2 linked regions of the Drosophila melanogaster genome follow. The protein of the gene in region 1 interacts with the protein of each later gene in a pairwise test. Each region holds a gene or a part of one and is shown on either strand. Other genes may lie near its edges.

The links. The genes of interacting proteins can lie anywhere in the genome.
Region 2: the proteins of CG7544 (region 1) and CG1239 interact in binary tests that used the Drosophila melanogaster proteins (3 or more experiments, as listed by UniProt).

The regions. Positions count from the first base shown.
Region 1 is NT_033778.4:15,145,745-15,149,500, forward strand, and holds the start of CG7544 (uncharacterized protein), read left to right. Parts: upstream 1-2,115; 5' UTR 2,116-2,221; coding exon 2,222-2,344; intron 2,345-2,405; coding exon 2,406-2,616; intron 2,617-2,667; coding exon 2,668-3,079; intron 3,080-3,139; coding exon 3,140-3,311; 3' UTR 3,312-3,333; intron 3,334-3,419; exon of another isoform or gene 3,420-3,426; 3' UTR 3,427-3,756. Other genes in the region: CG8089 (uncharacterized protein), read right to left, coding at 137-2,011. UniProt on the Drosophila melanogaster protein: RNA N6-methyltransferase that mediates N6-methylation of adenine of U6 small nuclear RNA (U6 snRNA).
Region 2 is NT_033777.3:5,731,895-5,735,303, reverse strand, and holds CG1239 (uncharacterized protein), read right to left. Parts: upstream 1,792-3,409; 5' UTR 1,688-1,791; intron 1,625-1,687; exon of another isoform or gene 1,618-1,624; 5' UTR 1,610-1,617; coding exon 872-1,609; intron 803-871; coding exon 638-802; 3' UTR 602-637; downstream 1-601. Other genes in the region: CG2100 (uncharacterized protein), read left to right, coding at 1-145, 207-542. UniProt on the Drosophila melanogaster protein: Probable S-adenosyl-L-methionine-dependent methyltransferase that binds and stabilizes U6 snRNA, probably by adding a methylphosphate cap at its 5'-end. Required for U6 stability, but not stability of 7SK snRNAs, other miRNAs or tRNAs.

The DNA.
Region 1 (3,756 bases):
TATATTTATATTAACATCAGTGCTTACAATAAATTATTTGATCTTGATTTGATGTTCTAATTATTCATCCCAAAAAATATAAGAAAAATATTTTTTTTTTATTTTTATGAAGTTAAACCTTATATTGAAAATTATATTATTTTTTGAACATTTTTGCTTGTGCCATCAAGTTCAGTTTATGTTTCATGGATCTGTAATGTCTTTGCATACTTCCCACAATTGAATTTCCGCAGGTTTCACAGATTTTAATTTTGACACGTTTTTTCGACCTGCAGGGTGTTTTCAAGTGGGTCTGCTTAGTTTTTATGCCCATTTTCTTGTAGTTATGTGTACTTTTATTTGCTGATGTCATACATGTGTTTGTTGACGAACTTGCTTCAATATCAAGCTTTTCATCGGTGGTTCTTGCCCCTTTGCGGCGATTGCTATCTTTTGTTTTGTCATTATTTTTCCCGAACTTTACAAGGTTATCCTTATGGCTTTGAGATTTGCAGTGCCTGCGGTAATTTCCCTTCGATTTAATGGTCAGATCGCAAACTTCACACTGAACGGTGTGAACTAAAAGATGCACTGCTTTTCGGTGGGTTTGCATGGTGCCCTGACTGTAGAAATTCGCTCCGCAGATTTCGCAGGTGAAATTCCTCTTGTTCAAATGAGCTTTGTTCATGTGTTCCTCAAGGAAAAATTTTCTCGTGAACTTCCTATTGCAGATTTTGCAGACTGGAGTGGGTTGCTTCCTGCAGCCTCCCTTTGGAGGTTCTCTCAACGGACGCATTTTATCCCGATATTTTTGCATGGCTCTATTGCATTCCTTAGAGGTATGAGCAGAGCAGCATAGACGAGAGGTTGGTAGTTTGCATATTAGGCAGGGTTTTCTGCGTTCATGGATTCGCAGTACATGTGAATCGAGGGCAGACTTCAGTTGGAATCTCCATGTGCAGTGAGGACACTTAAAGGGGCGATATAGCAGAGTACTGAATGTTCTAACCCTCTGCTGGTGCTTACGTAGGAATTTCCGGGTGAGAAACGACCTGTTGCAAAAGGAACAGTGAAAAGGGAAGTTCGTATATAGCCTTTCCCGTCTATGCTTAACCATATGCAGCTGGTGGCTAAAGGAGAAGCCATAGTTCTGAGCGCAACTTGGACATTTGCTGAGGCTAGAAGTCTTTCGTTTTTGAATTGGATGTTTCGATTCATCCTTAAAGTACGATTGCAGGTCCTCGGCAACTGGCACCAAGATATCCTCTACCTTGTTAAGTGATAGCTCCAGTTCCTTCTCCTCTTGTGACTTCTGATTCTCCAGTAGTCGTTTATATCTCTTGTTTTCGTGAAGTTCCCGCGAGCTTGTGGATTTTCTGATTATGTGTGAGGTTAACGAGTGCTGCAGATAGAATCGCCTGTAGCATATCTGGCAGTGAAAGTTGTCTGAATAGCGATGCGTCTTTTGATGATCCTCCACGTCCTGCAGCTTTTTCCACGGTAGATTCTCACATTTGTAGCAATCGCAGCGCAGTCCTGGTAGGAATAAAGCTGCAATTTTGGGACGCAGAGCTCCATGTGCTTCCTGGCCTGCCAGTTGGCTAACTGAACGTCTGTAGCCGCTGCTCACTGTATCCAGAATGGCAGCTAACTTTTCCAATTGTACTTTGCGGTTCTTCTCTTCGAAGGCATCGAATATTGCTCGAAAATCGTCCTGTAAATCAGCCTTAAAATACTCATTGGTCCAGAAATTATCGCGTAATTGTGCTGTGCGCAGTAATAGCAGCATATCCGAGCTTCGGAAACGCATAATTTTCTGAACGTCTTCGCATAACTCGCTGGAGAAATCCGTTCCAAATATGGTCTCCCCTTCCCCATTGAATGCCACGTACTTCTCCCTGAATCCTCGACAGCACTTGCACTTGCAGTGGCAGGAAGCAGGGCATCCATATGGCTTCTTGTCAATGCTAAGGACTGGCAAATCGGTTGTAAAGTTTTCGTAGGTAACTAGCAGTTTGCCAGGCCAAGACATTAAGTTTACTTTTTTGTTTACAAAAGTTGAATCAACAAGTGGCTGTGTGACCAGTCACTGATAGCACAGAAGGGCCAAATAAAACTACCAATTAGAGGAGCTGGTGTCATCTCTTGCTCGCTGGAGTTGCCGGACTGCTGCAATAAACAGCTGTTCGAATTTCGGCGGCATTTTATTTCATTAACAATTGCGATTTTTTGAAAACGAAATATGGTAAAAACTAAGGGAAACCAAAAGATAGTCGGCATGCATCCACGTAATGTGTTACGCACGCAGCCCGACTATACCAAAATGGCTATAAAATACAAAGATTTTCGGCAGCAGTGCCAGTTGGTAAGTAAAAACTATTTGTTTTGCTTAGACATTGATTTTAATAAAATATTGCTTAATTTAGGAGCTCAATGGCAAGGTTTCTGTGAACTTTCGCAATGAAAAGACCCTTCGTGAGTTGACCAAAATGCTGTTGAAGGAATATTACGATTTAGATGTGGATTTTGCACCCGGAAGTTTGGTGCCCACATTAGCACTACGTTTGAATTACATTTTGTGGTTGGAGGATCTAATGGAACCTCTAAATTTGCAGAACATACGTGGTATAGATATAGGTAAGCTATGGTTAGTATGTCACAACGATTTACTAAGTGAATTCCTCACAGGCTGCGGCTCCTCCTGCATTTATTCACTCCTTGGGGCCAAGAAAAATGGTTGGCACATGTTGGCTTTGGAATCGAAACCGCAAAACATAGAATACGCCAAGGAGAATGTAAAGAGAAATCACATGGAAAGCCTTATAGAAGTCTATGCTCAACCAGACAACACGAACATCTTTAAGAGCTATTTTGAGCAGGATCAGCAACAGTTGCAGTATCAATTTTGCCTGTGCAATCCACCCTTCTTCGACTCGAACTTACCAAATCCCTTAGGCGGCAATACCAGGAATCCAGAGAGACGACCAGCACCCAATAATGCCAGAACTGGAAGCCAGGAGGAACTCACCTGCGTGGGTGGCGAGGTACAGTTTGTGCAACGCATTATAGACGAGAGTCTGGAGAACAAGGAGCGTGTGCGGTGAGTCAATCTTCATTAGCTGCTGAGATTGAATTAACGTTGGTTTTCTCTGCGTTGCAGAATCTTCACCACGATGCTGGGCGTCAAGGCCAACGTTCCAAGAATACTGGATTACCTCAAGGAGCTGCAGGTGGCGAATGTCAGCACCACTGAATTCCATCAGGGACACACGACTCGGTGGGCGGTGGCCTGGAGCTTCCACTCGGAGCCACTACAGCAGGGGACAACATAAAATTAAGTTACCATTAGCTCTGGTAGAGTATCTTTAAGATGGTAGGGGAGAAGTAGTTTAACTTATTTTGGATTTTATAAGATTTATTCAATAATTTCATTTTTATAGGCATCAGTTTTAATGTATAAGTTCTTGGAGAATTGCTGCAACTTTCGAATGTACTGTGACCTTCACCTGTGCTCATCCCAAAAAGCAACTCCAAGGCACCTAGAAAGCTTTCGCCTTAAATGGAAATTTGCATGTCAACGGTCACTTTGCCACCCAGCTCCACGAACGGAAATTATCGTTTCGCTTTTATCATTGACCACAGCTGACCACACACTTCGACGGAAAAAGGCAAACGGAGTCGAAATGGCAACCGAAATGGAGGCAAACACGCTCACTAAGCACAAGTTGCCGCCGCTGGTCAACACACCGACGTTTCCACACCTTTGAGCCGGGGAAT
Region 2 (3,409 bases), on another chromosome or scaffold:
TCAATTTGAAAAGCCACATCAGCCGATTTTGTACTTGGCAGGGATGCTGCACTCCGTGGAAGACGCCATGGAAATGCACAAACGCCTGAAGCTATCCGCCTACGAACGAGACCTGGCTAGGTTCATTACCCAGGAGCGGGAGAAGGTAAGAATACCGATCCGATCAAGTTAAAATTGCGTCTTTAAACACCAGTTTCCCTTTTTAGGTTGGCTCACAGTACACGACCCTGCGTGACTATCAGAAGTTGTGCTTACAAAAGTACATTCAAAGGGATTTCGTAGAACAGTTGCTGAAATACTCTGGCAAACTGGAACTTTACAACCAGCTCAAGTCGTGGGTCAAGCCGGACTTCCCGATCAGGGGAAATGCTTTGGCTCAGCGTGGTCTGAACGGAATGAGGCTTGGTTTGGTGATGGATGAACTGAAACTTTTGTGGGCAGACAGTGATTTTCAGCTAACACACGACGATTTACTGAAATGGATTCCCAACGTACTGAAAAAGATACCAAGCGCTCCTGGTAAAGTGAAGCGAATGAAGTAGTATTGATTACATTTAGATGTAATCGATGTAAATAAATATATGGGTTTCCCTTGAATTTTCAGATAATTTTCATTTCTTGATTTTCTTTTTATTTCCTACGACTTTGTAAAAATTTGGATCGGTCGCTTGAATCCTACTTTGCAGTGCTCCGGTATGCCCATAAGTTTCATTTCGGCAAAGCCCACTTCCGGGCTAAGCAGATATTCGGTGAAATGATCAGGTCGGAATTTAATTGCATTGTAGTTATCTCTTATTTGTTCCTGAAGAGATAAATGTACATACATTAAATTAGAATATTCTCTATCGATTGTCCGTCTAATAAAGCTCACCGATAGCTTCTTGCGCCTCTTGTAGCCGTCGAAGGACTGAGGTTCCAGGATCAGCTTGCCGCCCGGGCGCAGCTGCAGGTACATGCGTCTGAAGGCCTGCTTCAGGCCGGAATCACAGAAATTAAGGTGGATCCACTTAGTGACAGACAGGCAGAGTATGACGTCGAACTGCGGCCGTTCAATTTCGAGCAGGACGTCGTCCTCCAGGACGTAGTTCCCGTGCACAAACTGTATGTGGGGTATCCCCTGCCCCGGGGTTGCGTGACGTTTCAGGTGACTGACGGTTTTTTGGGCATCATTTATTAGCCCCCGATCTATGTCCAGGCCCACGAGGCTCTTAACCTCGAATTTCCTGGCAATCTGGATGGACAGGTGGCCAGAGTTGCAGCCGATGTCAAGCAGCTGCTTGTTCCGAAACAAATCCGGTTGCGTGCCAAGCACGTCCAGGCGTATGTCGTGAAAATCCTTGTTCAGGATGCGCTTGCCGTAGTAGTGCTTATAGTTGCCGTACTTGAAGTTAAGGTCCTTGTTTTGCATGGGCTTTCCGTTTAGATGGAGCCGTTTTTTGGGACTCTGCGCAGGCGGACGGCTTGTGGCCTCCACATTTGATTCCTCCTTTTTCAGTCTTTTGGATTCCACTTGCTTTTCATCTAATGTTATTACACATTTTCGCTTTTTCGCACATTTTTCGGCTTGTTTGCCGGTCAATGGCGTATTGTTGTTGTTCTCCAAATCCATTGTGAAATCCAAAGTATAAGAATTCATTGGTATGTTAAAATGACTTGAGGAACTATTGATGTCTCATTAAATACTCACTACATATATATCAATGAGTTTATGCCCTTGCCCTTTTATATCTTTAAAAACATACAAATTAAAATGTTTACCACATCTTGCGGTAATTTCTAACTTAGAGTGACCGTTTTAAATACCACTTTCCGCACAGATGATAAATATACCGAAATAATATAACTGTATATAGCACATGATGTAAATTTATTTTATATGCTTTACTTTCCCATAGTTTATTATTTATTCAAATTTATTTAAGTTGGCGTAATCAGTATATTGTAACTCAAAGCTCTGCCGGGACTTCCATACCTAAGAAGTTGTTATTATTAAACATAAGATACATATGTTTGTTTACATGATAATTTACGCATGTAGATTTCTACAAAGCCTGTAAGTATGCTATAAAAATCGAAAAAAGACCCTAACTTGAAGTGCAAATAAAATTGATTTAGAGCATAAGTTTAAACGTGGCTGATGTCACCAAAAAAAACGGGCTGTCCTTGGAAAATAAAATTAGGAGCTATTGTTGCATAGCAGCTCCTGCCCTATTTTATGGTATCCCAGTGTACGGTTTTGCAGCTAAAGCCCACCTAAAAAAAGTTCGAGTAATCACTGGACGTGAGAATCACTGGTGATCGTTAGTATATAAGAAATGTTTATATCGAACGTGATCTCAGTCACAAAAATAGGGGACAAAATCCAGAAGATGGCCAAAAAAATCACACGAGAGACTGGATTTACACCCCAACGCGGACCTTCGAATTGTTATAATGGTTATCTCTCGTATCCCCAATACAAGTTACCTCTATTTATATACATATATATATGATCGAAACTGCGTCTATATCTCTACAATCCGCATGCTCGATCGTATAAGTAAAATTTATAATTAGATTAAGTTGCCTAGGTGGTAGTAGTACGCTTTTTCTATAAATAAACTCTTCTTTCTAATATAAAATTTAAAAGTCAATTTAATTTGTTTTCTGGCTGAATGAAATGAAATTTTTATATACTTCAGAAAATAAGTGGACACTAGAAAGGAAATCAATGAAAGACTATAATGAAAATACCCAAGTATCTATACGATTTTTTATTATACCCGTTACTTGTACTAGAATCGTTGAAAAGTATGTCCCTTCTGCCTGGATCTAATCGATTTGTCCATGTCCGTTTGTCCGTTCGTCCGTCCGTATGAAAGTCGTGATCTCAGGAACTAGAAAATGTTGAGATTAAGCATGCGGATTGTAGAGATATAGACGCAGTTTCGATCATACTTCCAGATGAGTAACGGGTATCTGATAGTCAAGGTACTCGACTATAGCATTCTCTCTTGTGCTACATTTGTGTTTCTTTTTTAAAATATGTAATATGTAATTTCTTAAGTGCGCATATACATACGTATCTCCCAACGGTGTTAAGCAAAAAAATTGTTTTCGCCATTGATTTTATTCCGATTTCTGCACAGCCATGGCCATTTCGGTTGGAGGTAAATGCTTTTGCTCAATTTACATAACAAAGCCCGCTTAATGAAAGCATAATATATGTTTTTGCAAATTGAAATCCTCGTTTTGTTTGCCGCATCGGCTAAAAGTGTCGGCTGCAACCACGCATCATACAGATTCCTAACCATCCGCGCGTGCCGCACGATGACCCTTATCGGTGAAATGGACTGGGGAGAGAAATACGAACAATGCGATGATAGTTTCGGCTAGGTGAGGACCAGTGGTCAGTTAAAGTGCGGCCAAG